Linked DNA regions of Coturnix japonica. The protein of the gene in region 2 purifies or fractionates together with the protein of the main gene of each other region. This does not show direct contact. Links are inferred from orthologs where the notes say so. Each region holds a gene or a part of one and is shown on either strand. Other genes may lie near its edges.

Region 1 (16,359 bases), on a different chromosome or scaffold from region 2:
ACAAAAAGTTGCTTACCTCATTTACATAATATATTCAGTCAACTGGAAAATAAAAGTTTGAATCTATCCTAGTGTTATGATGTTTCTGTGCTGTGGGACTGAATAATGTAATCTGCCACTTACTAAGTGAAATTCAAATGATGGCACTTAAAAAAATACACTATAAAATAAATGCAACGATGGAAGTTTCCTAGAAGGTAAGAAAGCCCTGAGCGATGACAAAATTACTGATTGGTAGCTCTAGAATTAACCTAATTAAAGTTTACCACCTCAGGCACAATTTTCCAAGTTTTTGAAAGGCACTCAAAGTTTCTTTAACAGCCTCATTGGTTATTAACTGTAAATCCAAATTTTGAGTGATGATGAGTGGAGATGGGCAACTTGCTTTGGTACAAAGTGATATATTTCTGGCATCCTTTTAATTGCTTAATTGGGTTGCGTTAAGATGGATATAATGTTTCAATGCAAGGCAAACATGTTAATATTGTATTGAAGAAGACTTCATTTGGGGAACCCTTTAGTATCCTTAAAGCTCTTGGTGACATCAGCGAGTCAAAAAGAACCAAAGTGAGTTCCTGCTAAATACCAATCCATGTGAGGTTGTCTGTCCCTCCAAAGCCTAAACTCCTCTAACAGAGACATTTGTTGTTTCAGAGTAAAATTCATCCAGAACTGAAAACTCTTGTTAAGATTTTTGCACCCAAATCAAGAAAAACGCATAAGGATAGAAAGATCCCGATTTAGATTTAAGTGAGGCTCATTTGATGCTAGTAGTCTTGTTCTGGGCCTTATTTTCTACTGCAAATTTTACCCTTAGTGAGAAATCTTCAAGAACAATTCTTACCAAATATTTAACTACTCAGGGCTTCCAATCCCAAAATGTTAATTTATTTTTTAAAAAGGAAAAGGAAAAAAATAAAGTAATAATAAAACATGATCATATTCAAACTAAGGCATATTTTACTTCCAAAACAAACACTAGGCAGTCACTTTGTAAGTGGCTTTTACTATTTCTCAAGTTAAACTGGTAAATTAAACTCAGGTCTACCGGCACATAAAATCACTAGCAGCAATGATCAAGGCATGCAAACTCAGAAGCATTTACATTAAATTATGAATTAAAAAGTTGTTAAATTAAAACCCTTTGAGTATTGCATTTATGATAATTAATTATGCATGAATTTGCAATAACTGACTAAAAATGTTTACAGCTTACTTGCACTATACTAATGACGTAATTGCATTAAATAACTTAAAATGAGACCTTTTGTTTTTTGCCCTCAGATAGACTTAAATAAGTACAGCTGCACTTCAGTGTTTGCCGACTGATTGATACTGCAAGAAACTAGTAGAAAATTTACAGTACTGTCACTTAGTAAGGTGGCATTTCTCTCTTTAATGTCAAAGAATCTGTACTTGCTACTACAGTCATCCCCTTGCTCTTATGAGCAGTACTTGTACGAACTAAGGGGCTTTTTAACATGTTAAAAGGCTGGTGCAGTTTCTAGGTTGCTGTTAAAATTTTCACATTCAACAAGGGCCATCCCTTGTACCCCTGCAGATGAAGCTGAGTAAAATACCTTCATCTTAGCATTAGTTATTATTGCAGTGACTGAATGTTAGGAGGAGTATAATTAATTGTGTTCTGATTTATGAAAAAGATGTCAGAAAACTGCAGTGTAAACATACCAAATATTCTGTAAATTTTTTCCTTTTTTGCTAAGCCTTCTTTTATTCCTAATGATTCTCTTTTACAATATTGGAATATTCCAATGCTAGCCTACCTAAGGAGATTCTCAAAGAAGGAGAAATATTTTTTTTCCTAAACCTTCATCTTCTAAAGGCATCATATTAGACAACTTCATGTCTGTAGAAACACACTGGATTTTCCTCATGTATTTCCGCATGTATGAAAACAAGGGAGATGAAGAACTATTTTCCATTATACAGTACACATCAATGGCAGTGAATATTTGGCTAAATCTATCGAACCTATCACAAAACCATTCCTGTATAGTATGCAAGTATTTACTTTAGAACTATTAAAAAAAAAACCCAAAAAACAACAAACTACAATGCTATCAATCAGCTATTCTGAAGTGTATGATAAATGATCTAAAATGCTTTATTCCCATCATATGACTTACAATGCTCAAAGGGTTAATGCAAGGCATTACATTAAATTAATTCTCTAATACTAGAAATAAGCACTGCATGTTTATGCTCCTATTCCAGTTTTTTGTTTGTTTGTTTCTCTTAAATCACCAAACAAATTATCAGAGATACTACAATTCCATTTACTGATTTTAAACCATACACACAGAGGATGTCCTGTTAGAGAGACAAGGGCCCAATTTTCAGAAATTCACGCAGTTCTCTCAAACGAATGTTTTAAACTCCAGAATTACCATTGTAGGTCATACTTACGTTACTGATAAATCTCATTTTCCTTCCCTACTTTTATAGCTAAAATTATTACTTTCTTTTTGTAAAGCCATTCTGAACTGAATCCAGTGCGACTCTAGATCTAAAAGGTTTTCTAAACAGTGCAGATATCAATTAGTGATATTCAGAAAGATATCATGTCTCTTATGAAAAAAAAAAAAAGGTGAAAAAAGAGGCTTTAGATATTTCAAAATACCTCGCTTTAAATTAAATTTGTATATATGCCTATACATTCCTGAATGACAGTACACCAGAACATTACCTATTTGTTATTTCTGAACTAAAGGCTGTGATTCTGTAAATCATTATTCTATGGGTAAATAATTTAAAATCTATTTTCCAGCTTTTTAGGGAAGTCTCTTTTAAAAGAAGGTGCTTATAGCATGCTACAGTACATGAGCAAAACACAAAAATAATAACTGAGAACAGAAAAGAAAAACAAAAGCTTCAAAACTGATTTACCATGAAAAAGATGGAAATGTACCAACAAATCATCATAAATGTATAACTTTTGAAAATTGGGCCCTGTGCTTTGAAAAGGTAGTTTAACAATACCCATTCCCCTACACTGTTCACTGTGATATTTGTGCTAACAGGGAAAATGCCTTTAAATCATTATTTTGGATTCCATTCTACATAAACCACTATTAGCCTTCATAACGTCTACCCTGTGGACAAATGCTAAACCTCTCCAGAGCACTGACAACAGACTTCAGAGCTGGTGTGGCAACCACGTGCTGCGCATCATAGATTCTGGACTGAGGTATTCATATCTCTGTAGTTTAATCATTACTAAAAACACAACTATTAAAGATAGCAGAAGTGTGCAAAATGTTTTTCCTGTGTTTAAGATTTCATTAAATGTAAAAACACAAGACCTCCAAACCTGCAACTATACAAACTAGCTTACAGCAACTTAGTTCTTCTAAAAATCTTGTAAGAAGGATGAGAAAAACAAAAACATGTTAAAATTCCGAAAGGTAATCAATTGATAAGCATAGGAATACAGACTCCGTTTAATTTTCTCCATCTGGGATAGTTCCAGTTTGTTTCGATAACTCATCATTTTGTAGAAGCTATGAAATACATTCTATCTTTGTATTAATTTTTCTAATTTTCCTTTTTTCTTTTTTTTTCTTTTTTTTCTTCTTTTTTTCTTTTTTTTTAAATTTTTTTTTCATTTTTTTTATTTTGCACTTTGTGAACAGTGAACAACTGGATGGGAGTGGGAAATTAAAGATTCTCAGGTCCCACATCTTTCAGCAATCTAAATTTACCTATTACAATCATTCTCTTTTCTCAGCAACAACAAATACAACACTAAAATCTGTAACACAATAAGAGAACGCTATCGGGTTTGCCAACACAAAACTGAAAGAAGTACTACAGTATTAAAGAAGTTTAAAATGAAAGAAAAAAGAAAAAAAAGACTTATTTCACTTTATTTTAATTGTAAACATCTTATAATGCACAATGAAGGGAATAAGTATTTATCACAGCTTAGTTTTAGGATTTTTGGTGAAGGGTACAGCTTTGCTGATTTCCAAGGAAAAATCAGGACACACTGAGCAATGTATGTGAGAGCAAAATCTATGAGATTCAGTGCATTTATGAGTGTAGAAGTAATGAATATAAACCTCACGTTCACTTTTTACTGAGGTGAAATCGCTGACATCAAGTAGGATTTATGCAGGATGGGTTCACCTCCCCACTCTTTAAAGGACTTAAGTTTAATTTTGCGCACCAAACAAGTTAGGATGTTTTAGTTGATATGTAGCTGTATTTGGGGCACATGTAATCCATAGCATCTAACTCCTTTGCTATAAATACACCGTTTCTTTCGCTATTCTTCTCCGATTTGGTATATATTACATTAAAGTCATTTTACAGACACCGTAGGTAAGCCAAAATAAAAAAAACCCTAATTTTTTTACCCAGTCGTTTGTATAAAGTTCATTTTTTTGTGCTCTTTCACTTCTTGACTTTTTTTTTTTTTTTGATTATTCGATTCCCTACTTAATGTAACAAATTCATGTGTCTGCATAATGAAATGTTTAGGAATAAAAATTGCAATTAATGTATGCTATATAAACTGTCAATATGAGATCGAGCTGTTAAAATGTAAAATCAGGCTGATACCCCACAAAACATACAAATTGAAAACATGCACTGCATTATGTACCTGCTCATTTATTCATTTTTACTTTTCAAAATTAGAAGTAGACATGGGTCTAAAAATATATATAATCATGCTTGGGACTATGGTCAATCTATCTTGACATCTGAATGTGGTATTAAAGCTAGTTTTGCCTTCCAGATTCCCAAGCAACTTTTATTTGTAATAAAGTGAAATCCAGCTAGAAACGAGAAAAAATAGGTTTATTGTCATTCTAAGAGGGATATTAAAATCATTTAATAATAAAAAATCATTTCATTATTTTGAAGGCTATGTAACCTGTCCTTACTTAGGGAATTTGAAAATGACAGGCACACCTTGTTGAATTAATTTAAGAGTTAAGAATAACAAAAAGTACTAAGTCTTAGCTTCAGTTCTGTTTAAGGCACCATGTAATAGCCGAGGTACAATGATCCCTGATGTACATTCTTAAATGGCAATGGTCCATCTAGCCACCTATTCAAATTCTACACAACTGGGAATAAGTAAAAGTGAGGTGTGCCAGTTACACTGCCTTACCTAATTTTTTGTAAAAATTTAAATCCACTGTAACAACAAAGAAATATTTTTGAAAGGAAAATGATGCAGGTTGCTACATTCCTTGCATTCTATAAATTATCTTTTCTAAGAGCAGCAGATTGAACCACTAATATGAAAAGACCTGGAATAGAAGAAAGTCATCCAAATGGAATATTTTCCTGTATGTCCAGTCCAGCTTAAGTAGCACGTACACTTAAAAATTAACAGTAATAATTAAGTCACTTCTTTTTCAGCTTCAGCTTCTAACAACTATAGTACCACTCAACAGCCAAAAGCACCTGTTCAGCGGCACCACGTTTAGTATCAGTAGTCTTCAAAACAGAGGAACTGGTATGCAAATAATATCTGGAACTGTTGATTTTTAATGAACCTTGCATTCTTAATATGATGGTCAGATTAGGTACGTTTGTTACGTACACAAGATTAGGTACGTTTGTTACGTACACATTATCACATTGTTACAATTCCGCCATTTAAACTTGCTTCTTTCTCACAGAAAGAAACTGGTATATCTTCTCAACTCTTCAACAATATTACAAAAAATCCCCCTGAATACTCACAATTTTATCAAAATAGTGTCTTTTAGTTGTCCACGGAAAAGCACCTTTTATAACAAACTTGATACATCTGTTGTCAAATAAGTATGCCTCCAGTGTAAATCAAAGAAAATAGTTCTTTTGATATTTCACAGAAGTGCATCTATTTAAAAACCTACGTATATGAAATCATCACTATAACCAATAATGAACATTAAAATATTTTTAAAAAACTATGAAAAAAATTAAATTATTATTAAGAGGACAAAAACATTAACATCAAGCTTTGCAAAAATCTTTCTTGCATTTGATTATAAGAAAACTCTTCACATTGAGTGGCCAAGGTAAAATGATCCTGTTTACAAAAAAAAAAATCTTTTCTTGAACAGGCCTGGCAAAATGCTTACACTCATACCATTTCATGACTCCAATAAAATAATGTTCAGTACAGCTGAAATTTGACAACAGTCGATTTTCAGACCTTTTTTCTCTTTTATTTCTTTTTTCCTAATAAACCCAAAGGGCTAATGTAATGATGGGGGGAGAGGGGAAGTTTCACATTAGACTGCAGTATATGTATTTCCAGTAGCACTGCACTGTCTGATAGTCTGAGTAGTTGCAACGATGTGCTCATTATGAATTGGGTTTAGGAGGTTCTGCTGTACTCCACTCTCAAGCACTGGCTGCATGCAGCCCACCTGAAATGCTTGGTTTAGCTCTGTTTTCTCTCTCTTTGCTTGCGGCTCTCCATTTTCATCCATTTCTTCATCTATTTCACTTTCAACTTCGCTGCCTTCATCTGCAGAAAGGGGGAAAAAAAATCCCTTTATTTTGCAAATAATATTTGAAATACAAAGTTATTGGGATGACTAGCAATCTGATAAAGCACAAACTGAAAACTTAAAACTTTAATGGAAAAAGCTAATGATTATATCAAATAGATTAATAGACTCTCATTGTTTTGATCACACCAGTTACATACTATTGATAAAATAAAAAGGAAAAGCAATTACTAATCTGAAAAACAGTATCTAACAAGCAACAATAACTTCCTACTGCAAAATCCTTTTTGTCTTTAAGACCTGATAAACCTTTTGAAGAATTGCTACAGATGGGGAAATGAGTGAAAAGAGGTTGAGACGTGACATGAAATTATACACTCTGTCAGTGTAAAATCTATGTCAAAATATGGCGTGAAGAGCTCATAAGGACCTTATTTCATCCTACCATCTTCTCTGGCATGCTATTTAGCAACTGCATGCAACTCCAACATCTTCATTTAGCAGTGATAAAGATACATAAGACTACTCTTGTCTTTCTTCCCACAGCTGTTCCCTCTTCTTCGTACTACCAGACACAAATTCCAGGCTCAAATGGGAATATTTCCTGTGTAAATGCTAAATATCTTTAAAATAAATTGTTGTTAGCAAACATACCTATGATGTTCTAGTAATTATTATATGCTGCAAATCAATGTATACACAAAACAAACATATGAATTTTATAGCATGATACAGCTCTAAATTCTACTTACTTTGCTCAGAGACACATTAGTTCTACACTGATTTATATACTAGAAAGATTAAAACACTTACCTTTATCCATATTTCCAGGGGACACAGCATTTAAATCACCAAACTGAAAAACAAACAGTGAAAAAACTGAGCACAGTGTATGCAAATAGTTATGTAGTGTCTGTGATGGAGACAGACTGTGCTCCACTGGTTTGAGGCTGGCATGCAAACACATGACCTAAGCTGCAGCCACATCCATCATGCATCAATTCATTTTCCATTCCATCTTGTATTTAGTAAGACAGTTATCACTAAGAAGTGAGCTACTTCTGTGTTGAGTAAGTCAGAAAATGTGACAGACATTTTGAACTATCAATATTTTATCCAAAAGGTCTTTCTAGAATTTCTCAGAGAATCCAGAAGAAAAATGAAGGTATATCTCTAAATGCAGCTATAACATTGCAGATTTACCTGGAAGGCAGATGAAATGCATTTCTGAGGAAAAGTTTACAAACTGGTAACCAGTTTACTTGTATTAAAAAGATATATTTGCAAAAATGTTCATATTCTAGATGTGTAACATTCCTTCCTTTCGTTTCCTGAATCCTCTCTCTTAAATGAAATTAGCAGAGTAGAATGTCATCAATGAATCTCAAAGGAGAATTTTACTTCAGTTATACAGTTCTGACAATAAGTAATGATACCAGCCTTTTTCAGAAAAAGAGTAAAATAAAAGTTACTTAAGGAACAGTAATGCAATGAGCAGCAATACCATCATTTCATGTCCTCACACTTATCCTTATGCTACTTTGGCTTTGTGCAAAGTGTTCACACAGCTATTATTTGTTCACAGCTTTTTATTTGAATAAATCTGATCCAGTTAACTGCAATACTTGGCAGTACTTTTGCTAACACCTGTGCCCAAAGCTGGGCGAAGAGGAAGGCAGGAAAATGAACATGCTAATCTCAGCTGCAACACTAGCTTACACTGTCCTGCAATGTTTGTCAAACTGTGGTCTTAGGTTTCCTCTTATTATTTCTGTCACAGTCATTGAATACAGAAATTCATTAACAAGCATACATTTAATCATAAAATCATAGCATCATAGAATCACAAGGTTGGAAAGATCATCTAGTCCAACCATCCTCCCATTACCGTAACTACAGCAAACCACTAAAGCAGATCTTGTAGCTGAGCTTGTAATGACCATTTGCACCTTCTCTTGTGTATCTCCCACCTCCAAAAGTTTTGTTATTTTTTTCGAATAATATCTCCACCTTCAGTTTACATCAAATAAACAACTACACAGCACCTAAAAACTGATGCACAAACATAAGATGTGTATTAAGAAGGCAAGAATGAAGTAACTGTATGATTTTGAGTATCTTACTGCATATGTAGGGCAGACAAAGGATATATGCTATTAGTGGGTCACTAAGTGGAAACACTGTAATTTAATTTGTCTAAAACCTCATGCCACATGGTAGGAAATCATTTGACAAATATAGTGAGACATGTCCAATTTCTCTTGAAAGTCTGCTACCAATTTACAGTATTTAATGATACCGTTAGTGTATCTTGAAGGAACAACAAAACCTGATGTCAAATCAACATGCAAAGTAACTTCCAAGTTATCTGTAACAAACATCACGCAGTGACTCCCAAATGTGAAAATGTAATAAAGCTGTGCCTTTAAACATCTACTGCATTTTCAAATGTATCCATTTTCCATCACTTTGGAAGTACAATTCTATAATGAAAGTGTATGCATTCTTCAGTATTTCACTCAAAAGGTTAGATGAAGTACTGGAGAAAAGAGGGATGAAATAAACCTCGCCTTGCAGATGCCACAGTCAAGTACAAAGATAGTTCATCATTCTTAAACTGTACAACATCCTACAAATACACATGAAAGTTTACAAAATTTGCAAAGGTATGTACGCAAATTCATCGTTAAATCTATCAAATCTAGTCTCTCACATATTATCTTACCTCTCCCATAACTGCAATAGGTGTCTCTCCTGTGGCCTGAGCAACACGATGTTCTACTAAGTAAAACATGTATTCATCATAAAGCAAGCGGATCAGATGAAAAGAGCCAAAGCTAGCAGCACTGCGCAAGGTTAGATCTCGAATCACCATTGAGCTACTCAAAAATGGAAAGAAAAACAACACTGTGTTATATGTCATTGTCACACAAATGCTTATCCATATAGACATTTCATCTCAAAACCAATATTCCTAAAAACAGCATTATCCACAGTGTCTGACTAATGGTGCCTTTGGAAAGAGGAGTTAAGGAAAAGCGATTATTTGCTTCTCATTTTTTGCAGAAGGTGTTGCAGGCCACCAAGAAATAACTGTGCTTTTTAGTTGTTGTTGTTGTTTTTTTGTTTGTCTTCCATTTTCCTTTGCTTTCCTATCTTCATAACCACCAAGATTTGTGAATATGTAAAACCTAACCTGAAGGAAAACTGCTAAAAACACAAACAAAAACTATACTCAAACTTTCATTTTAGATAAACTAATGTTTAAATAAATTCTGTTGAGCCCACTTCCCAGTAGAAAGGTTTTGATTACCATGATTCTAATAACTCAAAGTTCAAACTAGATTAGAAAAAGATGTCTGTGTATGTATTAGATTGACAAATTCTGGTATCTTTAGCAAGTAGCTGACATAATCATTTTCAAAGAGCCAGCTTTACACTCACAATTGATCCAATAAACAGCTGGTAGGGAATGTTAGCTTGCTTTAATCCACTTTATATTCTGTAAAAAAAGTTTACCTTACCTAATGATCACAGATATTACAGTGTTTTAAAAAATAAAATTAAAAACACTGGATTGTACGGTTATTCAACCCAATGATCCCAAGTTGTGTTTCTAATTCATGACAAAATTCTACCCGCATTCATATGGCCTTCCAAACAGCAAGAGTATTGGTTAAGTCCCTGCCAAGTTCCAAGTGTCCCTGAGTTTGATGTTAACAGTAATTTTCTGGAAAAAAAACCCACCCACATACTTTTGGTGACTTGATGACTCACAGTTTGATGTTGCATCAGTCAAGTTCACTACAGTGAACAATTCAGCAAATAACAGAACAGTTAAAATGTTTTATAAGTATAAATACTACCTGTAGAAAGACCATTTTAACAGAAATTGCCGTGCTGCTTTAGGAAAGCTGGGTCTTCCTTCATATGGTTTCAATGCTTGCATCATTACATTATCAAGCCAGGCAGCCCACTGCTCCAGAGTGCTTTGCTGTTGAAGAGTCATTTTGAAATCTGTTTCTAGCCTCTGAACCATGTTGTCATCACACTGGCACACCCAGGAAGCCTGCTCCTGTTAAAGCAAATAGCAGCCCTTGAAGTAACAGCACATAAACCAAAACACAGAACACAATTCATTCTTAAAGGTTAAAAAATTCTGTGGAGAAAAAGGGCAAAAAATGCTTGTAGGACAAACTAAAAAGCAGTTCTTGTTTTTATGTCTGTCACAATTTTGTTCAAAGAAAGTGGGTGGGAAAAACACAACACTTAAATGTCAAATTCAGAAATAAGAAGAACAATGGAAATGACACAAGCATGTTTTAGTTTGCCCCATTTGTTTTCAGAAGATATCTCTTACTTTCTTTGTTGATAATTTTTCTACTGAAATATATGGGAATTGTCAGTTTTTGCTGGGACTGCTGGCATGCCAATCAGAAATACCAGTTAAGTGGGGGTCTAAAATAATAAAAGAACAAACAAGAAATGAAGTGCAAGGTTCCTCTGGGCATGAAAAAGACAATTTTAGTTATACCATCTTATAAAAGAAAGTTTTGCATATAAACAAGAATTGCTTTATTTGCTGACTGTATGTTACACGAAAGTACAAACTTAACTGCAAAGAAATGGAGAAACATGCTTGCATATAACAATGAACAATTTAATCAGCAATATCAAGATTAAATTAATTTAGTAGGACACTTCAAAAACTAAGAGATAACATGGAGACACATTCAAGACATGCCCTTAAACTTTAGCTATCTTGTGCCATGTTAACACCTCAAGATTAGCAGGCTGTGTCTACATTAACATATGAGCATAATCAACATTTTGCATCTTTGGTCGAGTACACTACCCACTCCTGTTCTTTCATGTTGGTACCAGCGATGTTCCAAGAAGTAGTCTGAGGTAAATTGGAAGAGATTTGAAGGTTCTTGTAAGACATCTTAAGGATTCAGAACCACAGATACTGTTTTCTGCAGTCCTCCCAGTAATGGGAAATAAACAGGTGGTCAGTGAATATTAAGATACTTGAATGTGTGCAAGGGGCAACACAGCTGGTAACAGGACTGGAGGGCATTTTCCTATGAGGAGAGACTAAGGACATTCAGGATGCCCAGCCTGGAGAAAAGGAGGCTGAAAGGACATCAGTGCTCCTTGCAGCTCCTTGAGGACGAAAAGTACTGCGAAACGTACTGGGCTCTACTCACTGGTTATCAGTGTGAGAATGGATGGAAAAAAGCTATGCCACGAGATGTGGTCTAAACACTGGAACAGTCTTCCTGGAGAGGTGGCTGATACACTCTGCATGTCAGTGTTCAAGAGGCATTTGGACAATGCCTTAAAAAATACACCTTAACTTTTAGTTAGTCCTGAAGCAGTCAGCATGACTTGATCCTTCTAAACAAGCTATTTTAATTCTAATGCCACCATTTATAATTTACATATTGTTGCATAATATAACTACATATATTAAAATATATTTATTAAAAAGTACGTGAAAAAAGCATAAAGAATAAAACTGTCACTAGCAAACTGATTTTTATATGTAAAATTATCTCCTCAAAAAAAGACTCTGACACAGAACTGCCAGTCATCCAGAATATTTTACTTTGTTGGGCAAAAGGAAAACAACACTTCAGCAATGGTGTAGAATCATGTGAGAAACCCTTTTTGAAGGCTAACTAGAAACCAGTTCTAACCTTTATTAATCCAATAATGACTCATACACATAAGCAAAGATACTTGGATAAAGCATACTAATTTAATTGTATTTGAATGAATGAAACAGTCTCTACTAAAAACAATGTTGTACATTTAATTGCTTTCAGAGACATTCAGGAGTTGTGTTCCTTTCTGTGACCTAAATGTGCAATATCACTGATGCTATTAATAAGACATTATTTGTGATATAACCATTCAAAGAATGCACAGGCTCTTATGTTTTCAGAGAATCTGGAAACATATGAGTACTTGAAATAAATAAGCACTTGGAAATGGAAAATGGCTCCAAGTTCTTACTTTCCTAAAGTAGATTTGAGCGAATCCTCAAAACATTATTGTGCTTTTTTCCTGAAAGAATAATGACAGCAAATGCAAAAAGTTCAGAATGTTTGGATTATTTTTCAAAGTCTGTTACTTAAAGCTAAATTTTACCTGAACATTGGCAAAATCAACACGGTTAAGATCATTGAGCATCTGGTTGATTTGAGAAGTGTTTTGAAGAACAGCACGAGCTGCTTGAGCCAGGTGGTTTAGAGATGTGTATCTTCGCAGAGTCTGGGCAAAGGCACTTACAGCGGCAACCTATGAAGAAATTAATTTCTTTTAAAATCTTGTACTCTCTATCTGTAGAATAATACACCTTTGATTGTTTACATTCATTTTAATATTCTACATTAATGGCCCATAATATGTGAATTATATTCATGTAACAGGTCAAAAGCATTTTCCTTTTAATCTTTTGACAAAACAGAATTGTTTCTCATTATTTGATGTGATGCTAAACATGAAATTTAGCATTCAAGTTAAAATACTACTGCTTTTATATACTACTGCACACTAGGCTCATCATTGCAAGAATTAAGCCACAATAGTTTTGTCTACCTTGGTTTGTATCATCCTCTGTGGAATATTGTTCATGGCATTTGAAAGCCAACCTTCAAGGCTTTTTGCAAAATTGCGAATGGCTTGGGTCAAGGCACCTGCACATTGAAGAAGAAGAAACAATGAAAAGAAAGCAAAGTACCTGTTTGGAAATGTTTCGCATCTTCAGTACCTTTGTGCTCAATAGTTTGGATCCACCACTTTTACTTACTGGAAGATGAAACAAACTAGGGTTCAAAATGCCTAATTCAGATTCAGATTATGCAATAATGGATTTAGTTTTCTTTTAATGAACAGTTTGAACTTCCTCACCTAATCTGTCAGGAAGCTGATGACAAACAGTATTGCTTTGGGCATTACTGCATAAGAACATCTTTAATTGCAGCAGTTGTTTCCTATACACTTAAAATTCCTATCACAAATTTTTGGTGTTCTACTTCAGTTAAGTACCTCTTTTTAAAGAGCAAGTCTCTGAAAAATTCCTATTATTGGAAAACTGCAGCTTCCTCAAATAGACCTGAAGAAGTGTGAACTACTGTCATGATACTGCTTATTTCCACTGGAACAAAATCCGGTAAGTAGTACTTAAGGATATAATCAACAAGCAAAATATAAGAATATATTCCACTGACAGAAAGTTTAATCATTCAAACAGCTGTAAAATCTTCCTGTGTTTTTTCTTTCATTTATTTATTTATTTATTTATTTATTTATTTATTTATTTATTTCCTTCACTATAGCACCCATAGAACTGATTGGATGGATGACAAGGATTTTGGGAGAAACTGAAGCTTTTGCAGGAATCAGTAGTGCAGTCAAAAGGGGTTTTGAGGGTTACTCTGGAAGTAATGCCTTTGACTTTATAATGTTGGCTGATGACATCAGTGGTAGACATTGGTGATATGAAAGTAGAGGCTGAACATTCACATCAACAATCTATTACATGTTCTGGTTGTGTTGTAGATGGCAGCAGAGGGGCAGTTTGACAAAACGTAGTCTGATATGGAAGTGTGGATGAAGTAAAGGTGTGCCTCTGAATTCATGTGTAAAAATTATACCCATTGACACTCACTGATAATTACTGATCATTTTTGGATGTCAAGCAGTGGACGTGAGCAACATGAGGTGGTGGGTGGTACACTGCAGCAGTGCTGACAGTGATGTGAAAGACAAGCCATGTTCCAGTCATGCATTTATGAGTGCAACATACAGGCTCTTGTTCAACGCTGGTGAAAATGTACAGCTAATGGTGATGACTATGTTGAAAACATTTCTGATAGCTTAAAATTTTCTCTACCAACTAGTGTTACTGTGCTGTTGAAGTTTCCATGAAAAATAATCAGGATGCACTACTTTCAGATCAACCTATGCAGTTATTAAAGAAGGAGGAAACAAAATTTTTCCATAAGGAACTGCAAAAGGAAAAAAAACAAACAAACAAACACAAAAAACCTTATCTCTTGAGTAGTAAAAATCTTGCTTTCTAATACTTACCACTTGCTCACAGACCTAATAGTGTCCACCGAAATAGTTGGGAAAGGAGACAAAAATAAAAACTGCAGTTTTCTAAAAATGAAGGGAGAATCACTGCAGCTGCAAAAATGAAGAGTAAGAACACTAGAAAAAAGGAAACTACACTTACTTCCAAATTATTTCAGCTACATGTGAGAAAAGACTGTAAACTAAAGCCAAGGTTCTGTTTATAGGGCAGAATACCTTCTGGTAGACTAAGGCTGAAAGAATTTATCTTTGAGAAATACTCTTTTTTACTGCTTGAATTATTGATAATCCTTTTATTTAGGGAAACTATTACTAGAAGATCAGTTCACTAAAAATAAGTAATTCATTAGATCTTTTTCAAATTTCTTTGAATTTATACTAGTAGCACATAGAAATTCTATTAGTAACTTACACAAATGACCACAGATTTGGATGCTTAGTTGAACATAATTTGGTGTTACAAAGTATCTCAATAAGGTAAGTATTCTATGGTAATATGTGTTTAGAATTGCAGTATCACAGAATTGCTCAGGTTGGAAAGACCTTAAAGATCAAGTCCAATCACAACCTAACCATAGTACCCTAATTAACAGCCCTCAGCTAAATCATGTCCCTGAGCACCACATCCAAACAGGTTTAAACACATCCAGAGATGGTGACTCAACCACCTCCCCAGGGAGCCTATTCCAGCACTTAAGTGTTTGTCTGTTTTCCCTTGAAGCTTTCACATAGAGAACAGGCTCTTCAGTCCTATCAATTATTCTGCAAACCTCTGATACTTTGTAAATTCTTCCTCAGCTCTTACTAATTAACTATGTTTTCATTTCTTTTATTTCTTACCTACAGAGAAAGAAAATGCAAATTGGAAAGAATAATATAAATACTGTATGAATTACATTTAGTAACTTAAAGAAAGTATTACTGTTGTCACTTCTAATTAACTTACTATTCTTTTCCACCTAGTTATATATTATGAAATTACTTTGACCACTGCAAGGTTAATCTCCCTTAAAAATAAAGACAGAAATGCAGCTCAGATACATGAGCTTTAGCTAGGAAGGAAGTGGATATAGAAGGAATAGAAGGAATAGATATAGTGGAATAGAAGGAATTCTAAGTTTTGAAGAAATGTTCCTTCTTTATAGCTATATTAGATAATCAGGTGTCAGTACTGTATGGTGAATTTCTAATGAATTTTTGAGATATCATGTTAATATATAGAATTTTTCTTACACAAAATCTTTAAGTATGTGTCCAGCCATTGCCAAAAACTCATGTACCTGCATCCTCAAAGCCTTCTTCATGTTGCCAAGAAAAATGAATTATTAACATTGTTAAAATAATTAAAATTATTAAAAACTTTTCAATGAATTACACAGTGAGTTCACTTCAAAGTAAAGGGCTTGAATTAAGTCATATGTAACTAAACACACACAAACTTGCAATAGGAGTTACTGATAGAAAGTTAGATTTGGATAAGAACCTAAGAATCCAGAGTCTGAATCTCAGCTGAAAGCTCTCTAGCATGTAAATCTAAAAAAACAAACCAATCAAACAAAAACCCCAAACCAAAAACAAACAAACAAAAATCCATTCACAAAAAAACCCCAGTCCTTTTCTTCAAAGGTTTACTTTGAAGTACTTTAGATTTCTGTCTGCCTGAATTTGTGTAATATCATTTGGAAATACACTGAACATAAATTCTCTTCCTATGACAGAAACTCCCAGGCAACTTTATTACTGCCCATTCTGTCACAGGTGAAGGTGCAAAAAG
Region 2 (17,222 bases):
ACAGAGACAACACAAAGGCACATTGTGGCATTAATGTCCTTTTACATTGCAAGTATTTGGCTTTTAAAAGGGTCTGTCACTTCTGAACTGTGGAAAATAAGCCCACAGAGGGTGACTTCACATCATCCCTCCTGGGTCAAAACGCAGCTCTTTCAAGAAGAGAAAGGACAGACTGTAAGGACATGAAGCCTTTGCTTTGCACCCACACCTCCCAAGGAGGGAAAGTATGGGTTGGAAACCAGCCTGTGGGGTGTAAAAGCAAGTGATTTATTACTCTGTATTGCTCAGACAAGTACAACACCACCCTTAAACATGAGTCTACCTAAGGATGAACAGCCCCTGACCCAACATTAAGGCTGCACCTCCAGGAGCTCCTCACCATGTTCTTTGTGAGCTGGTCGCTCTTCTCAAGGCTCTCTTTGATAAAGGACAGCGTTTCTTCTTCCTGCAGTCACGATAAAAAGCAGTTTTCACTTCAGACCATCGAGCATTGAACTCACTATACACCAAACGAGGGTCACACACCCACAGCTGGGAGACCGAGCACAGGGTAGGCCGCACACAGACACCCATGAACCCTGAGGAGACATAACAGGCCCCTGATAGCCGCAGGCCCAACCCCACCTCCAAGCACTGACCCCAGCCCAGCCCCACCTGCTTCAGCTTGTCCTCGATCTCCCTCCTGCGGGCCGACATCTCCTCTGTTGGGATCATGGTGCTGCGGGGCGCCAGGGCCGCGCTCCACACACAAACCCCGCTACCACAACTCACTTCCGGCCGGCCACCACCGCGCCGCCATTTTGGGTGCGGCAAGGCACGTTGCGCATGCGCAGAAAGCCAAAGCGCTATCTAGAGAATGGCTTCCGGCATAGAGGAACCGGAAAGAGGATTGGGGGAGTAACGCGCATGCGCATTGTTGGTCGCCACCTTGGGTGTGGCGTACAGGCTGCGCCGCCATCTTGGGAGGGGCGTGGTGTGTCCTAATATGGCACCCTTTATCTGCCGGGATGGATGTGCAGAGTGACCCCAATGCACTGAAAGACACGAGGGGGTCCCAGCGGCTCCAGGGCGGGCACCTGGAAGGAGACCAGTGGTCCTGCAGGAGGGTTGGGTCCATGGCTGGGCCCAGTCCTGCTCTACTTACTGTATGGCATCACAGAGCACATCCCACCCCCCTGTGCTCTGTCACTGCACTGGGCTCATACAGGGGCTGCCCATAGAAGGAGGAAATGCAGCAGCTCAGTGTGCGCTGCTATTGTGTGCTGCTAGGAAATGCACCCATTGCAGGAAGGGGATGCACGACAGGGAATGCCCCAGTGTGACCCAGCACCCTCTGCTGCTGTCAGACCTGCTGTGTGTGCCATAAACCAAGCACCCCAACCTCCTGCTATAGGGGCTGGACCTGTGTCCCCATCTATCTTCCCCTTATCAGCCCACCCTGTGCTTGGTGAGGCTGAGGCAGCCCAATGGGTCTCTATTCAACAACAGGTGGGTTTTATGATCCACCTTATCACACAGCTGTGTGCCGACCAGCATGAAGGGCAATGTATTCCCACCCCACAGCCCCAAAGTGGCACCACACAGGCAGAGATATGAGCACTGTGACACGGCCCTGCTGCTCCCCTCAGCCACCCTTTGCATCTTGAAAGGCAATAACACAGTTTATATCCCATCCCGCCTGCTGCTGCCGCCTTCCCACCCCGCCAACAATCTCTTTCCGCGCCGAAGCTGCCGCCTGCGGAGGATGAAAGGCAGTGAGTCAGCAGTGCATGGAGGAATGCTGCTCCTTTTGCTCCATGGGAGGGTGTCACCAACGGCCGAGTTGGCACCGTGCTTTGGTTGGGGCTGCTGAGTCCATTTGGCACCGAGCAAAGCTGCTGCGCTGCTCTAAAGCTGCAGGTTGGGATCTGATCAGAACCTGATGGCTCCGTGCTGTTTGGATGCAGCATTCAAATGGCATCGCAGCCCCCTTGCTCAGCAATGGGAGGTTTGGGGTGCTGGGCTCCCAAATACTGCCAAGGAGCAAAGGTGAAGATGAAGCAGCAGAGCTCGGCCCTTGGCTCATTGTAAGGTGGTTGGGATCAGTCCCTAAGGGTTGGCCCCATAAGTCCCCCCCACAACCCCATCCACTAGCCCAGCACAGACACAAGCTGTGCTCTCCCTCCCTCCGGCTTTATTTGCAGAGGGAATTAAGGTCCTGCTGGGAAACCTTCCCCAGTGCTCTGATAGCTGCCCACATAGCCGGCTCTAAATGGCTTTTTGTAAATGAATGATCAGGATTAACGAGGATCCCCTGGCACTGTTTACTTAGTGCTGCCGTTGTGGATGGGGATGGGGTGCACATGGCAGGGACCACCGCAGTGTCCCCTCTCACGTACCCAAGCCCTTCAGTTCCCAGTCTAAGGAGAAAAGGAGGTTCTGGGCCAGGTTTGGGGCAGTGCACACCGTGAGCATCAGTCCTGGCACGGGCTGATGGTGCCGTATTTCATGCTCTGGGGCCAGGATGGGGACGATGCTCATTTTCTCCCTACGCCACGTTTCTGGGGAAGGCGGGGGGTGTTTGCTGTGTGGGTCAGCAGCTCCACACACCATGGGGCTGAGGAGGAGGTGTGGGGCAGCAGCCAGAGCCACCCCCTCAGCTGGAATGTGCTCTGTGAGCCCTAAGAGCCACCTGGCAGGAGGAGAGCACAGCAATCAATAGGGTCTGCAGAGCCCCGTGCCCAGGGATCCTCTTACATTGCCCTTGTAGGGTTCTGCCTCCACTCACTGCACTCTCATGGGCTATGCAGCCGCCTTACCCCGACCTTTGGCTGTTTGCACATTCCTGCCTGTTAATGTGTCTCCTAACCAAAAGCCAGTGAGACAGAGCATGGCATCCCTATGCTGTTCTCCTCATTCCCTGCCTGGAAATCCACACCTACAGCCCAGCAGCCACCACCCTGCACCCCAGCATCCCACCCCCTCTGAATAGGGGGGCTCCCCATGCAGATGGCAACTGCCAGCCAAAGAAACCGGGTGCTGTTTGGGAGCAGAGCCACGGCTCCTGCAGGCTGCCAGGCTGGCACACCTCCCACCAGCATCACGCCAGGCCAAATTCTTTGTGATTCCTGGGTTAACTCGTAAAGCCAGTGCCCCCAACCCCATGCATGGGACAGGAGCATCCCACGGGACAGGAGCATCCCATGGGACCCACCACCCCACATTAAGCCCATGCACCCAAAGGACCCCCCCCCTCCTCCACACCCACCCTGGGCATGCTTGGAGGAGCAGGAAGGGCCACACGCCCCACGTCTCCTTGTGACAGCGGTGACGCAGGGACCATTGCCTGCGGTCTGGGGAGTGCTGGGCAAGCTGCAGCCTGCCCCATTGTGCCGGCCCTGCCGTGGGGAACGGCTGCTGGCAATGACCCATTGAGCCCAAGAGCATCCCAGGGCATGGAACAAGGCAGGGAGCTGTGCTGTGCTGGGGGGGTGCAGGAGAGGTGGGTCCCCATCAGGGACCTAACACAGCTTTCCCATCATTCTGCCCCTGCTGGCTTTGCTCTGACAGCTCCATACATTTGGGTCCCAAATCAGGACCACAGGAACCCCCCCAACGCCACCCCCCTGGTACTACCACCCCCTGCATCCTCCAACCTGCCCCATACCATCCCCACCCCATTGCCACAGTGTCCTGCGAGCCCTCACCCACCTAAACCCCTAAGGGCACATATGGGAACCCATTTGTTTTCCCAAACTTTGGAGGTTCTCTCATTGCTATGCAATGCGAGTCCATCCCCTGCCCTCCTCCATCCTTACCTCCCCCTTCTCCCCACACGGCTCCAACCCATCCCAGCCTGGGATCCTAAAACAGGCCCGTTTGTTTTGATTTTACCCCTCCAAGAGGGAGGAAAAAGTAAAAAGAAAACATGAATAAAACCCAATTTGGGGGCAGGGAAGGACCCGAACCCAGAGCAGGAAACAAAAGGCGATGGGATTTGCATTTCCACCCGGCTCAGAGATGGCCCCAATCTCGGGGCTGTTTATTCTAGCCGTAAGATTTTCAATATTTGGGATGATTAGCAAGTGAAAGCCGGCTGTTGCCAGCATGGCTCCTTGCCAGCCTTGAGCTCAATGGAGGAGAAAGAAAGACACAAGAAAAGCAGAGACAAGAAGGGGCTGTGTGTTATATTTACCCCCCTCTCTTTGCAAAGCAGAGATTGGGGTTGAGGTGTTGGGTGGATGATGGATGAGGGGTGGAGGGGGTAGAAGAGAAACCACTGATAGAGGCGTTATGGCCGCGGGTTTAACAAGCCAAAGGTTATTGGGGCAGAGGAGGGAGCAGGATGCTTCCCATCCGCATGGCAGGCCCAGGCAGGTCTGCTTTCAGGAACCAAACAAAACGGGGTTGTTTTGGGGCCTTGCCTGGTGCCTCCTTTATTGCTCACCCTTGTTTTGTTCCCCTTGGCTGGCAGCAATGCTGGCTGCTGGCAGCGCCTGTGCAGGGGTGGGTGCCCGGGGTGCTGCTTTTTGCAGGGGGTGAAGCAGAAATGTGGGCTTTTTGCCAGCAAAAGAAGCAGTGAAGCATAGGAGCAGCGAGGGGCTGCTGGCTTTTCCCAGCCCTGCTAATAACGCCCTTAAAATGGAGAAATAAGAGAGCAGAGCCCACGTGCTGACAACAGGGAACGGGACAGGAGGAGATACACTGTTAAGATTTCCAACCGCTGAATCGTGGAAGGTTTATTTCCAGCCTATGTGATCCCATCTTCCCAACCATCAACACAACTAAATCCTATTGCTGACCCATGTCCTTCAGTGCTACATCCTCACATCTCTTTAACACCCCCACATTCACACTCCACCACCCCCCCAGCCCATTCCAACCCCTGACCACCCCCAGCCCCTCATTTCTCCTTTAGGATTTCATACTTACCCAGGCCAAAAGGAGACCCAGTCCCTACCTCTGGGAGCCCCCCTACCCTCCCAGCACCAAGCAGAACCACCTCCAGCATCAAGCTGAGCCCAGCCCTTCTCTTTTGGGCTGAGATTGCCCAGATTGAGAGCAGCTGTGACTGTGAGCACCTGCTGCTGCTGCAGTGCCCACCCAGTCCTTAAGGCACAGGGGCTGGGATGCCCTGGTGCAGGTGAGGGAGGGTCTAGAGGTGCTCAGAATTGAGCAGAATCCCCTCCCTCTCCCCACCATCCCACTATACAGGTATGGGTCCCCCCAGTCCATCCACCCCCACATATAGCTCCGTGTATGGCTCCCCAAGCACACAGACCCCCCCACCACTTGCTTTGCAGCCGCTGCTTTGCTTTGCTGCTCTTGCAGAGCCTGAGCTGCTCCTCAGTGTAATTGGCCCCACGAGGGTTGGTCTATTCCTGCAGAGCTGTGCAGCTCCTCTCACCACCCCACACCCACGAGGGCTCACAACCCGCTCGTGTTCCTACAGGGCAAGACAGGGACAACCACCCCCCAGGAGCAGAGAAAGAGGCTCCAGGGCTTGGGAGCAGCTCCCAGTGTCCCCAAGCCAGCAGGACCCCCTGATGTGAAAGTGGTGCCGTGCATGAGGTCTGTGCCTCAGTTTCCCTATGGGGAATTGCTGAGCCCACTTAGAGGTGGAGAGCAGGACTGGGATGGTGATACTCAGCCCCATGCAGGAGAGGCTCAGATACAGCCAGGCAGTGCTGCAGGGAAACAAGGAATCAAAAGGCTTTTTTTTTAACCTATTTTTTCTTTTCCTTTTTAATTTGTAAATAACTCTCCATGAGAAAGGTTAGAATTGCACTCATCACTTTGCATTCGTTCACTGCAGCCCAGGAAAAGATTAAAACAACAGATGAAAAGGAGCATCACCCAGACAACTACATACATCTCCACCAGCCCCCTGGCTGCGTGGTGGCATCTCAGCAGGCTTCAGCTCCTGGCCCAGCCCCACTGAAGCTGTGGGGTATCAGGGAGCCTTGGTGCCCGCTCCACCCCCCCATTACCCATTGCAAATCACACCAAGGCTGTTTCTGGTTTTATTTTTCAAGGCTGGTTTATTGAGTCTAGTGCTACAGCTGTACTCCTGCTATGTAACTCACAACAACAATCCTAAGTGCTTCTGCAACCAAAGAAGAAAGTCTTTACATTTCTCCCATTTCTTTCTTTTTGGTGAGTCTAAGACACACAGCACTGATACTACAGCTTTTCCTTACTCCTACTCAGCAGCTACATCACCCAAAACCCCCCGTGGGGGACGAGGAGCAGAGGAATCCAAGGGCTTTGGGTCGAGTTTCGGCACAGTTTGGCTACAGGAACAGTGGTGACGTTGACATGGAGTTGGGTGACCCAATGCTGATCAAAGCCACTGTGCAGGTTTCGGTTTGCAGGACGACTACCATAAGCCCAAGTACAAAACAACCCCCCAAGCTACATTTCCCCTATCCCACTCTGAAAAGAAAAGTCCTAATGCTAAAAAATAGAGGTTTCTTTGAATATATAATATATAATAGATTATATAAAAACATCTAAAGAGGCAGACTGAATTTACGGATCTTTCCTTCTTCCCCAGGCACACAAGTCAGGAGGGAGGTTGAACTTGGAGAATCCAGAGGGGACTCTGTTTGCCTGCTAACTAATTAGCTACACCTACAAACGAACCCGGACAGAAAGAGAAAGAATAAGAGAAAGAAGAAGAAGGAGTGAGAAGATTGCACGTAGTCTATGGAGTCCGAAGCCACCAGGAATCTTGTCTGTTGGGTCTGCAGAGCAGGCCTGAATGCCGTGTCCATTTCCATGCAAGGGAAAAGAAATGGTAATTTACATTTTGTTCCTTAAAAAGTAAAAAAATAAGTACTGTTCTACCTCTTCTCTCGAGGAAACTCGTGGACCTCAGACTTCTGGTGTGTCCTTTGAAGGTATTTCAAGCAATTTTTGTGTTGCTGTGTTCTCCCCATTGGTGTGTCTATGAATAACCACGAAGCTGATCAAGCTGCTGCAGGAGTCTGTCCATAGAAAATATTGTCCATTGCAAGTTCCAGCAGCAGAAAGGGAGCATCCTCCCATAGCCCCCGTGGGTTTGGTTCGCTCCTTTGCTTATAGAAAGGATCCCACAGCGCTCCATTCATCGATGTCCGCGGGCAGCGAGGTGTCACCCAGCTCAAACAGCTGCTCCATGCTGACGGAGCCGGACAGGTACTCACTGCCATCTTCATCCCAGGGATGCTGCAGGAAGGAGGTGGCCATGAAGGTCTCATCAAAGTCCAGGTTGTTGGGGTTGGGCTCGGAGAGGGGCTGCTCGGGCCCAGCCACGCACCACTCCTGTGCACTGTCATGGTACCCGTGGCCTGTCAGGTCAACATCACGCCCAATGGGGCTGATGGGTGGTGTGAGCTCCAGCTCCTCAAACGTGGCGAAATCTCCATTGAGGTTGGTGTCGAAGACGACCTCCCAGTCGAAGTTGCCCTTCAGTGAGCCCAGCTCTGTCTGCTCCTCCTGGGTGAGCAGGGCTGTGTTGAGCAGCCGGGCTGCCTTGGCTGTGCGTTTAGGTAAGGGCTGCTTGCGCTTGCGGCCGCTCTTCCCATCCCAGCTCTGCTCACCAGTGACCTCTTCAAACTCTTTCAACAGCTGCTGGGACTCTGTGTTGACGTTGAGGACGTTGCCATTGGCACAGCTGGAAGGCACTGGTCCAGTCATACCACTTGCTTGGTGCTGGGCCCTGTTGGTGAAGGCTGGGTGGATCTGCACCGGGGGCATCCTCCGCTTCTTGAAGGCCCCGTTCATCAGCCGGTCGGCGTATTGAGGGTCTATCTTCCAAAAGCCGCCTTTCCCTGGTTCATCCTTCTCACGGGGCACTTTAATGAAGCACTTGTTCAAGGAGAGGTTGTGCCGGATGGAGTTCTAAACCCAAAAGAGAAAAGAGAGAGGTTGAGCGTTGCCTTCTGCACTTACCTGTATGGGTATAAGGTCATCAGCTGGGATCCTGGGGGTAAATAAGGCAGAAATGGCACTGTTATGACATCTAGTCCATGTGCCCAACAGGAACTTCCCTCTTTGGGTTTCCAGTGTGTCATTTCCCTTCCTCACAGCCAGCCAAGAAGCAGCAGGAGACAAGGGTTTGAGATAGGACCTGCCAGCCATCAGGAAACACTTGGGAAACTCTCCTTGGATGTAAAGTGGGGCCACAGGGCTTGAGAATTGGGAGAAACAGGCCAGACCCACTGGAGGAGCTCCAGTTCTGCATAGAGGGTGAGGTGGGACTCACTCCAATGTCCCCATGGCCAAAACAGGGCAGCACCATGGGGTTGGCATCACCCGTCCCTGTACCCCCAAAGGTCATTTGTGCCAATTGTTAGGGGCAAGGGGAGGTGGGCAAAGCCATCCTGGGCTATCTGCCCCTACGGGTGCCTCCTGGCCCAGGATGTGTGAATTCACCACATCTTCATCAGCCACAGCACAAAGTAGCTGGAAAGAAAAAAGAAAAAGAGGAGTTTCTGCTCCTGTTGAGCTGTTCTGAAGCCCTGAATGTGCCTCGAGTGATGTGAATAATCAGAAAGGAAACTCAGTTATCGGGTAAATAACACAGCGTTGGGCTCCACAAAGCCAAGCCCGTATTAAGAGATTGGATATGGTAGAGAGCTTTTTTTTCCCCCTTTTTTCCTTTAATGTTGCCTGGATATCTTTATGCTTATTCATCCATAATCCGTAGTGCCGAGTAGGAAAAACAAGGCTTGAATGCTCAGAGCTGTTGAAAAACACACACACACACACATAGGCACACACACAACAAAACCCAGAGCTGGGCTAGAGCTCCTTGGGCGCGCTGGCTCCCCTCCAAAGCACTCAGCTCCCACAGGAATAGATCCATCTCCCCCCCGAGGACGGGTGGGATGACCTTTAGAGGCTGTGTGTTCATAGGGGAGTTGGGGTAGGGGAGGAGAAAATGGGCTTGGAAAGAAAAAAAGGTGGGGGGGGAGTAGGGGGAAAGAGGGAAAAAAAGAGAAGGGGGGGGATAAAGAGAAAGAAAGGGAAAAAGAGGATAAAAAAGGGAGTGGGGGGGGAAGAAAGGAAGAGAAAGAAGGAAAAAAATGAAAACAAAGAGAAAGGAAGAAGAAAAAGGGAGAGAAAAGGGGAATCACAGACATCCCCACCAACATTCCAGGCTGCAGCGATTCCAAGCTGACCATTTAATGACATTTTATGAGGGTCAGAGCTTTGTGGGTTGAATTCTGGGCTCCCCATCTCCCCTCCCCATCCCACATCTCATTCAGCCCTCGTTACATGGACATATTTATCATTCCTCCCTGCCACAATCCTGCCACCCCCCCTGCGTGTCTGTGGGGAGGGATTGAAAACCCTTCTTTCTTTCTTTTTTTTTAATAAACACATTTAATTAAAACCATGGTGATTAGCCAGCCAGGAGCTTGCAGGGCAAAGTCAACATGCTGGCACAGTGCTGCTCCCACCCCCCATCAATAAAAGACCCCCACCAGCGATGCACAGTGCCCCAATGTTCCCATCTGCCAAAGCTGTGCTGCAATATGGGGTGGCCCTTAGCACAGAGCAGTGCAGGGAGGATCTGGGGGGGCAGGTGCAATCCTGGAGGATAAAGGGGTTCCCTGCCCCAGGATGGGCTTTGGGAGCTGCTGGAGATGAGGGCAGCCTGGGGGGTCTGCAGTGTCTTTGTGCTGCCCAGTGCTGTAAATTGGGTGTGGGAATTAATTGGGATCCTTGGAGGTTCTCCCCATCCTGAAAGCCTCACAGTGACATTGCATGGAGGGGACTGGGAAAAACCCCAGGTTTGGAGCTGCTGAGGGCTGTCCCCTACCTCTGGGGATGGGTTCATTTGAGATATGGGACAGCCCAGCCTCTGGGGCCTCACATCTCATCACAGCAATGGGGTCTCCTTGGCCTCTCCAAGAGCCTCCCCTCCACCCTGTTTGCAGAGCTGCAGTGTTTCTGCTCCGAGCTTCCTCAAGTTGGGATTTATCCAACGTGCAGCATCACCCCGTGAGCCCTCCCCATCCCTCCCCTTGATTTGGGGGTTTCACACACACTGAGCTCCATATGGGGGCTGCAGAAAGGTGGAGCTGGGGACAGAGACATCCACATACCAGAACCGAGCACGCACCTCCCCGCTCCTAAAATGGCCCTGGGCTCTCCCCTGTAATGGCTCCTTCCCTCTGCCATCCCTGCACACACAATCCCTGTCCCAAAGCCACTTCATTCTCCCTCCCTCTCCCATCAGTACCTCCATCCCTGTGCAAACCACAAACCCCACAGGGACCAATCCCCTTCCCCCCACATCCCAAACCCTCAGACCCCAAAGCACCCACCTGCCAGGTGGGGTCGGCGTGTCGGAAGTAGCAGAAGTTATCAGTAATCCATTTGTAGATGGCAGAGAGGGTGATTTTGGTCTTCTTGCTGGCTTCCATTGCCATGCAGATGAGGGTGGCGTAGGAGTAGGGCGGCTTGACGTGCGGGTTGGTCTTGTAGTCGATGTCCTCAGGTGGCTGTGTGTGCAAACCCAGGTGTGCTGACCTCGAGGTGGAGGAGGAGGTGGGCTTGCCGGGGGTGTGGGGCATCCCCATACATGCTGGGTCAGCAGCCAGGGGGGAACACGGAGCGGCAAAGCCGGGGATGTGATGGCAATCGTGAGGATCGGGGCCGCTGGGGCACGAGGAGGATTTGCCCACGTTGGCGTTGATGATGGAGAATTCCTGCAGCCATTGCAGGCTGGTCAGGCTGTCGTCCAGGTTGCTCGAGTCCCCCATGCCGCCCTGCTGCCCCTCTGCTGCCCGCAGGCTCAGCCAGCCCTCAGCCATCCCTGGGCTCTGCTGCGGCTCCAGCATCCACGGGGAGCAGCGCCGGGAGGGGACGGGACGCTCCTGCAGTGACATAAGGGGGGGGATAAGGGGGTCAGGTTCCCCGAGGTGCAGCTGCTCTCGGCAGCCTAAACCCCCCAAACAACCGCTAAGAACCTGAACCCACCCTGAGAGCGAGCGGACGGGCTCAGGCTTCAGACATCCTTGCTGGGTTGATGTTCAGCCCCCAGCGTGGCCATGGAGCCGTCACCCAACGCCACCCGGTGTCACCCGGGGATGGGGCGGCCCCTGAGCCGGCCTGGGCACTGGCAGCCCATGGGCAGCAGCCGTTGGGCTGGGGGTTCCACCATTCAAATGATGCCCCCCAACAGTCGGGGGGTCCAAAGGGGGGGGGGGGGGGGGGGAAGGGAGGGGGAGGGAGGGGCACTAAACCCTTTGCCCTGCTGCCTAAAAAGGAGCAAACCCCCCCCCCCAATAGTGGGCTCAGCACAGAGAGCCCCCCAGCTCCTGCAGCCAGGAGGGGCTTGCGCATGAAACAGCAATGAATGCCCCCCGCTCCGTGCGCCAACCGCGCGGCCCCGATGGCCGATGCCACCTTCACCCCCCCACTGTGACCGCCCCATAGCTCCATCCCCGCCCCCCACTCACACCCCATCACCCCCCTTACCCCGTCCCAACGACGTCCCCCCCGGCTCCCAAAGTTGACGGCAGAGCAGGAAGCTTCTGGAAACGGCAACCAGGAACAGAACCAAACCCAAACAACCCCGGGCCCGGTCCGTAGGGCAGGTTGATTGGGGGGGGCTCCTCTATTCCCCCTTAGGGTCGACTCGTGCCCCCGGCGCTGCCCGCCCCGCCGCCGTGATTTGCCGGCAGCGCAGCGCCCGCCATTAAGTAGCGGCTCCGCGAGGCTTCCCTCGTTGCCGCGGTGACGCTCCGCCCTATAAACAGCTTCGAGTCTTCTGGTTGGTTGTATCGTTGCCACGGAGAAGAGCTGTTAGTGGCTGTTATGGGGGGTGGGCTTAGGGCGCCCCATTGGTATCAAACATCTCCATCCCAGCCGGGCTCTGGGATAAAGCAGAGGGGAAAGGTGCCGGTTTGGGGTCGTACACTGAGCCCTGAGACGCCGCCCGCCTTCATACAGCGACTGCGGACACTGTGATGGACGTAAGATAAACCTTTATTAACAGTACTCTTGGACCCCATCACATGCTGGAAGCAGAGTCGGAAGCAGCGATCTGGGTGTTTGTTCTCTCTTCAATATCCCTGATGGGGGGCGGAGGGAGAATGGGGGGGGGGGGTGTGCAGCCAGGAAAGCCCACTGCTCACCTGCCAGGACCCTCCGGAGCAATGGCTGCCTGCAACCCCCCCATAAGTCACATGTGTTGGGATGCTGAGGTCCCCAGAGTTGTATGGCTGCATCCCTGCACCTCTCTGGACCCCTAACCCATGTGTGCAGCCCAGCACTGGCTGCAGGAGATGGGGATGGAGGGGGGGGGTTGCAGCTCCCATCCCCTTTGTCCACCCCTGCTTCTCAGTGTGATGTTAAGATTGGGCTGGGTGACTGGGTGACACTTTGGCACTTGTTCCAGGCAGAGGGCACAGCCCCGAGCTCGTAGTGTGGTGGAAGACAGTGAAGTTCAGCTGGTGATGGCCCCATCCCTGCACACAAAGCCACCCTATGGGAACCCACACGCTGCCCCAGGAGGAGAGAGGGGATGGGGGAGAGCTCCATCACCACCGGTGGGGGCATCCCATGGCACGGCATGGGGACGTGTCAGCATCCCGGGGGGGTCCAGCCTCCCACCACGGTCACCAGAGTGAACCTTGGCTGCCAATGCTGACACTGATCCTTCACACACAACTGTGGGCACTTCTGTGCCATCGTTCCCCTCTGGCCAATACCCCGAGACCCCACATAGGGCAGGAGGAAGGACCCCAGCCCAACCTTGGTGTGTAAAAGGGAAGGTGCTGATGGAGGGGTTTGGAGGTGACACCCGGCCGTCCTGCAGTGGGGGACAGGGGGGAAAATTCGAGGTTACCATCATTCCAATGGCCGGAGGTGGAGGTGGCAGTGCCTGGGACTCTCTGTGTATGGCAGGGGGCTGCATGTCCCCCAGGCTGAGCCCACCCATGGGCAGTGCTCCCATGGCTGCTGCCTGCTCCGGGTGGCTGGTGCCGGGGGGAGCACAGAGCCACACATTGGTGTTGGCTGCCTCTGGGCCTGGGAGAGAAAACAGGGGGTTAGAGGCTGATCACCTGGAGCTGCACCCCAACACCCCCAGGGGAGTGGAGACCCTCTGTGCTGGGGGACACGGTGCTGCCAATGTGGGCAGTGTAGTTGGAAACCCCAAATCTTTGTTCCCATGCTGGAATATTGCATCAGATAGGGGTTTCCCTTTTAGCACCATGAGGTGGCCTCTTTGTAGGGTGAGATGTGGGTTCCCTGACATGGAATAGGGCAAAGGGGGAGGCACTGTGCAGCCTGGTTGGGTTTTAACAACCCAAACATCTCCCCTGCTCCCTCATCCCACTAAGGGATGTCACCCGGGGCGCGTGGGTACCGCCAGCTCTCATACCTATTCCTCAATGTCAATGGGGCAGGAGTCCGGAACTGCAGCTATATGGCAGGGAGAGACCAGAAGGTACACGGTGAGTGTGAGAGGCACAGCATCGCAGCACGCAGGAGCACGAGGGGCTGGCAATAGGGCTGCTCCCCTATGGGATGGTGTGGGATAAGGAGGCACTGCTGACAGGCACTGCAGGTGTTACAGATGGTGATCCCAGGGCTTCGTGCTGAGGACGATGGAGCCCCTCTGCTCATGGATAGGCAGAGCTTGGGATGTGCTCACCACCACCTACACCACAATGGGCAGCGTTGGTGCTGCTGGAGGGGGGGGCACCCACAAAGCACATCATGGTGAGGTTCAGCCCCACACCCAAGGCAGTTCTGAGTCCCAGGGGCTGTGTGGGGGCAGCCTGAGGCTAAAGGGAGAGCACTGAGGCTTTGTCAGAGGGAATAACCACGTCCCCACTGAGTGCTGATATGGGAGGTGACGGCTGTGATTCTCAATGGCTGGAGCTGAAGAATGAGGCAAGGCTGCAGATCCTGGAAGGTAATTAAAGACCACACACACAGGCACATGCAGCCATCGCATTAAGGGCTCCATACTGAATAAGTCACTCTGGTGCCTCTGTACCAATGCGGGGCCTCCTGGAAAGGTTCCCAAGGGACAATGCCAGGAGCAGGGTGTGGGGTCACAGCCACCCACCCATACCCACTGTGCCTCATCCCAGCAGAGGCTGCAGCCTGAGGATGCTCTGCCCCAGGGAACCCTACTAGGGACACAGCTCAGTGGGTTTTGCTCAAACACTGCATCCTAAGCCCTCAGGACGCAGCATTTTGACTCTTCCCAAAGCATTTACCCACCAGATATCTGAAATCTGGAAAGATCTCAGAGCAGCACTAGGGACTGACGAGTATTTCCACATCGATAAGCCACGTCCTGCACCTTCATTCATTATAGAGAGAGCTAAAAACAACCCATGGATCTAATCACAGCTAAACCAGTCTCTAAACCCTCTCTGGTCACAACAATACTAAGCTTTCAAGATACTCCATAGAAAAACTCCTTGTTTTTGTGTCTGTCCTGTGGATGTGCTCACATCTGAGCCTGCCAGAGTCAGTTCACAGCCCTGGTTCACTGCTAAAAGCCTTCAACCTCTGCCAAAGCTCTGACACTTAGTGCACCCAAACCAGCCCAGCACCTCCACCATGCAGGGAGCATGTTGCGTTCTCCAAACCCTCAAGGCAGAGCCCCTGCCTTCCCTTCATGCCAACAGCTGTGCTCCCATCCCCACTGCCATCCAGGCAGCCCCTTCCCCACTCTCCCCCCATCAGCCCCAGAGGCAATGCCTACAGAGGGTTCGCAAGCAGAGCAGCCACCAGGCAAACGCAAGGACCAAAGGATGGAGACCTCATCCTTCACTGCCAGAGCATCTCTGCGGCTGCTTGGGCTGCAAAGCTCTCCATCCCTCGGCACAACGGAGGGGGATGCGCTTGGGCACCAAAAGGGGCACCTGAGGGATGCCAGGTGCTGCTGGGGGGGGGGTATGGGGCAGCTGTGGCAAGTGCCTGTTCCTCTGCAAGAGCCTCGCTGTGTTTCTCCCAAGCAGAAACCACCAGGAACAGGGCAGCCGGGAGGTGAGGCAGTGGTGTAGGAAGCTTTCCCAAAGGGAATGGGGAAGGAAAGGTGTTCCCCACCCAGTGGGGCCAGGCAGTTCTCACCCCCCCCACCCCACCACCCTGTTCCCCTTCTCCAGCCTAAAGTAACAGGTGGGGGCAGAGTTGCTTTCAGCTGGTCCACAAATGTATTGCCATAGACTGAATGGAGCTGAACGAGGGGGCTCCTCTTGGCTTTCTTTTTTTAACCCCCATTTGTATCCCTCTGCACTGACAGAGAGGAGCCTGCCAGAACTGCAGGTCCCCTACCCTTATTGCCAATACATTTGTCACCTTTCAGCAACTCTAGGCAAGGAGGGGGACACAAGCACGGGGTTGGCACAGAGTGAACATGAACTTTCACGTGGATGGAGGAGGCTGGGGTGGGGAGAAAGAAGAGAGAAAAGGGGATGGAGAGAAGGAGCAAAGAAACAGAGCAAAGGCAGAAGGAGAGGGGAGAAATAGTGTGAAAAGATGGAGAAGAGGGATGGAGCTTTGGGGCTGTGCTGGAGGACAGCAGGACCTGGAGAGCTTTATCTCCATGGTTGATGAGAAGGGAAGGCAGGCAGCTCAGTGTCCCAATCCAGCAGCACCTGGTTGAGGCTGGAGCATCTCTGCTTCATGGCCTGACCCAAAACACCACAAACCACACTGTGGGATCTGGTTGAGCCTTGTAGCCACTTGCGGAGAGGCTGGTGCCCATTCAGGTGCCATGTCCCAGCAGATACCAACCATGGGACAAACCCTTCAGTGAAGCACATCTGCAGGCACTGTAGTGGGGATAGGAGGACACCCAGACCCAGGGGTGGTTCTATGTGCCTGGTGCCCAGCAGAACGGGCTGTGAGGGCCGCTTGGAAGGGATGGGATGGAGATGGATGGGATGGAGATGAAGGGATCCAAAGGGCAGGGGCGATGCAGGGAGGAGTGGAAGCATCCCCCCCACCCCAAGTTCATGTTCAGCAAGTGGCCACTCACCAGGTAAGCAGGCCTCAGAGCACAGTTTATTGTCCAGCGCTTTCACGTGTGCGATGCCCAAGTCATTGTTATTGTCACACCTCAGACCGAGGAAAGCGCCTGTCCTCGGGCCTGGAAGGGAGTTAATGCAGTTAGCGCGGTGGGGCGTGCACGTGGGGAGGGGGGCACGGGGATTCTCCTCTCCCCACCTCCTTTCAAACAAAGCAAACAAAGCACTGAGCTGCTCCTTCCTCACGCTGGGGGCTCACAGCCCCTCAATCCGGCACCGTCAGTGCAGCCGCGGGGATGCCAAGGAAGCTGAAGAGCCAAGCTTTGCATGTGGCATGGAGGTTTTGGGGGGGCAAGAGAGGCAGGTCTGCTTCTTAGCACCAGATATGTGACAAGAGACCAGCTCTTGGGTGACGTGCATCCATAAGATGCCTGCAACACAGCTGCAGGGGTGGGGGGGCATCCCAAATAGCAATGGCAGCATTGTTGATAGCACACATGGGTTCATGTCCTAAGGTGTCAAAGCAGGAGCACCTTAATTCCTGCCGTCTGATCAAGCAGGCTTACAGCTGACCCGAGCTCCCCATGAGGAAGGTGGTGCTGGCTTTTGGGGTGCTAGGAAAGGCCAGGAGCAGCCCCCACTTTCTCCCTGCCTGGACCTCACCATGTACAAGAGCCTTCCTGCAGGACAGGGGCTGTGCTTTGCTCTGTTTGCTGATGACAAGACAACCAGGCTCGTGGTTCTCAGCCTGGCTGATAGTTCAGATTGAAAGGGAGAGAGGTCTGATGCCTTTTTGTTACCGAGAGCCTTGCAAACAGAGGAGGGGGCACATTGGGGGCCTTCCTGTCTCTCCAAAGTAATCCAGGCTATGTGGCACAAGGGAAACAATGTCTTTCCTTGGCTGTCTGAGTGCATGGGAGGCAGCAAGAGGAGCCTTCATTGTGCACATGTTGACTTGTGAAAGCACATCGAGGATGAGTGAAAAAGAGGAAAGTAGCCCAAAAGAAACAGTTCTGCAACCCCTTCCTATGGGAACCAGCACAGACGGGGATAGTGAAGGGAGAGGTTTACAGAGATGCTGAGAGACCTTCTTGGCAAGGAAATCACACCCTCACAAAGATACTTTCCCAGTTTGCACCCTGGAAGCAGCTCCAGCTGCATCCCATGGAGGGGCTGCAGGAGCATCATCACCTTTCCTGCATGGACAGCCCCTGGGGAGCTGCTGCTCACCCAGCACAGCCGCTGCATGGG

Evidence for each region.
Region 1: the proteins of FOXJ1 (region 2) and RFX3 purify together in Homo sapiens (affinity purification with mass spectrometry; 3 studies listed by BioGRID and IntAct, counting the BioPlex papers as one, with this or other methods). This does not show direct contact. The link is inferred for Coturnix japonica from reciprocal best matches to the Homo sapiens genes FOXJ1 and RFX3.

What each region holds. Positions count from the first base shown.
Region 1 is NC_029547.1:24,261,829-24,278,187, forward strand, and holds the end of RFX3 (transcription factor RFX3), read right to left. Parts: intron 13,184-16,359; coding exon 13,086-13,183; intron 12,786-13,085; coding exon 12,636-12,785; intron 10,555-12,635; coding exon 10,346-10,554; intron 9,359-10,345; coding exon 9,205-9,358; intron 7,336-9,204; coding exon 7,293-7,335; intron 6,497-7,292; coding exon 6,258-6,496; 3' UTR 4,413-6,257; downstream 1-4,412. UniProt on the Homo sapiens protein: Transcription factor required for ciliogenesis and islet cell differentiation during endocrine pancreas development. Essential for the differentiation of nodal monocilia and left-right asymmetry specification during embryogenesis.
Region 2 is NC_029533.1:3,903,694-3,920,915, reverse strand, and holds FOXJ1 (forkhead box protein J1), read right to left. Parts: upstream 11,717-17,222; 5' UTR 11,455-11,716; intron 11,092-11,454; exon of another isoform or gene 10,954-11,091; intron 10,851-10,953; 5' UTR 10,815-10,850; coding exon 10,299-10,814; intron 7,864-10,298; coding exon 7,060-7,863; 3' UTR 6,130-7,059; downstream 1-6,129. Other genes in the region: EXOC7 (exocyst complex component 7), read right to left, coding at 380-445, 655-714; E3 ubiquitin ligase RNF157, read right to left, coding at 13,364-13,404, 15,983-16,093. UniProt on the Homo sapiens protein: Transcription factor specifically required for the formation of motile cilia. Acts by activating transcription of genes that mediate assembly of motile cilia, such as CFAP157.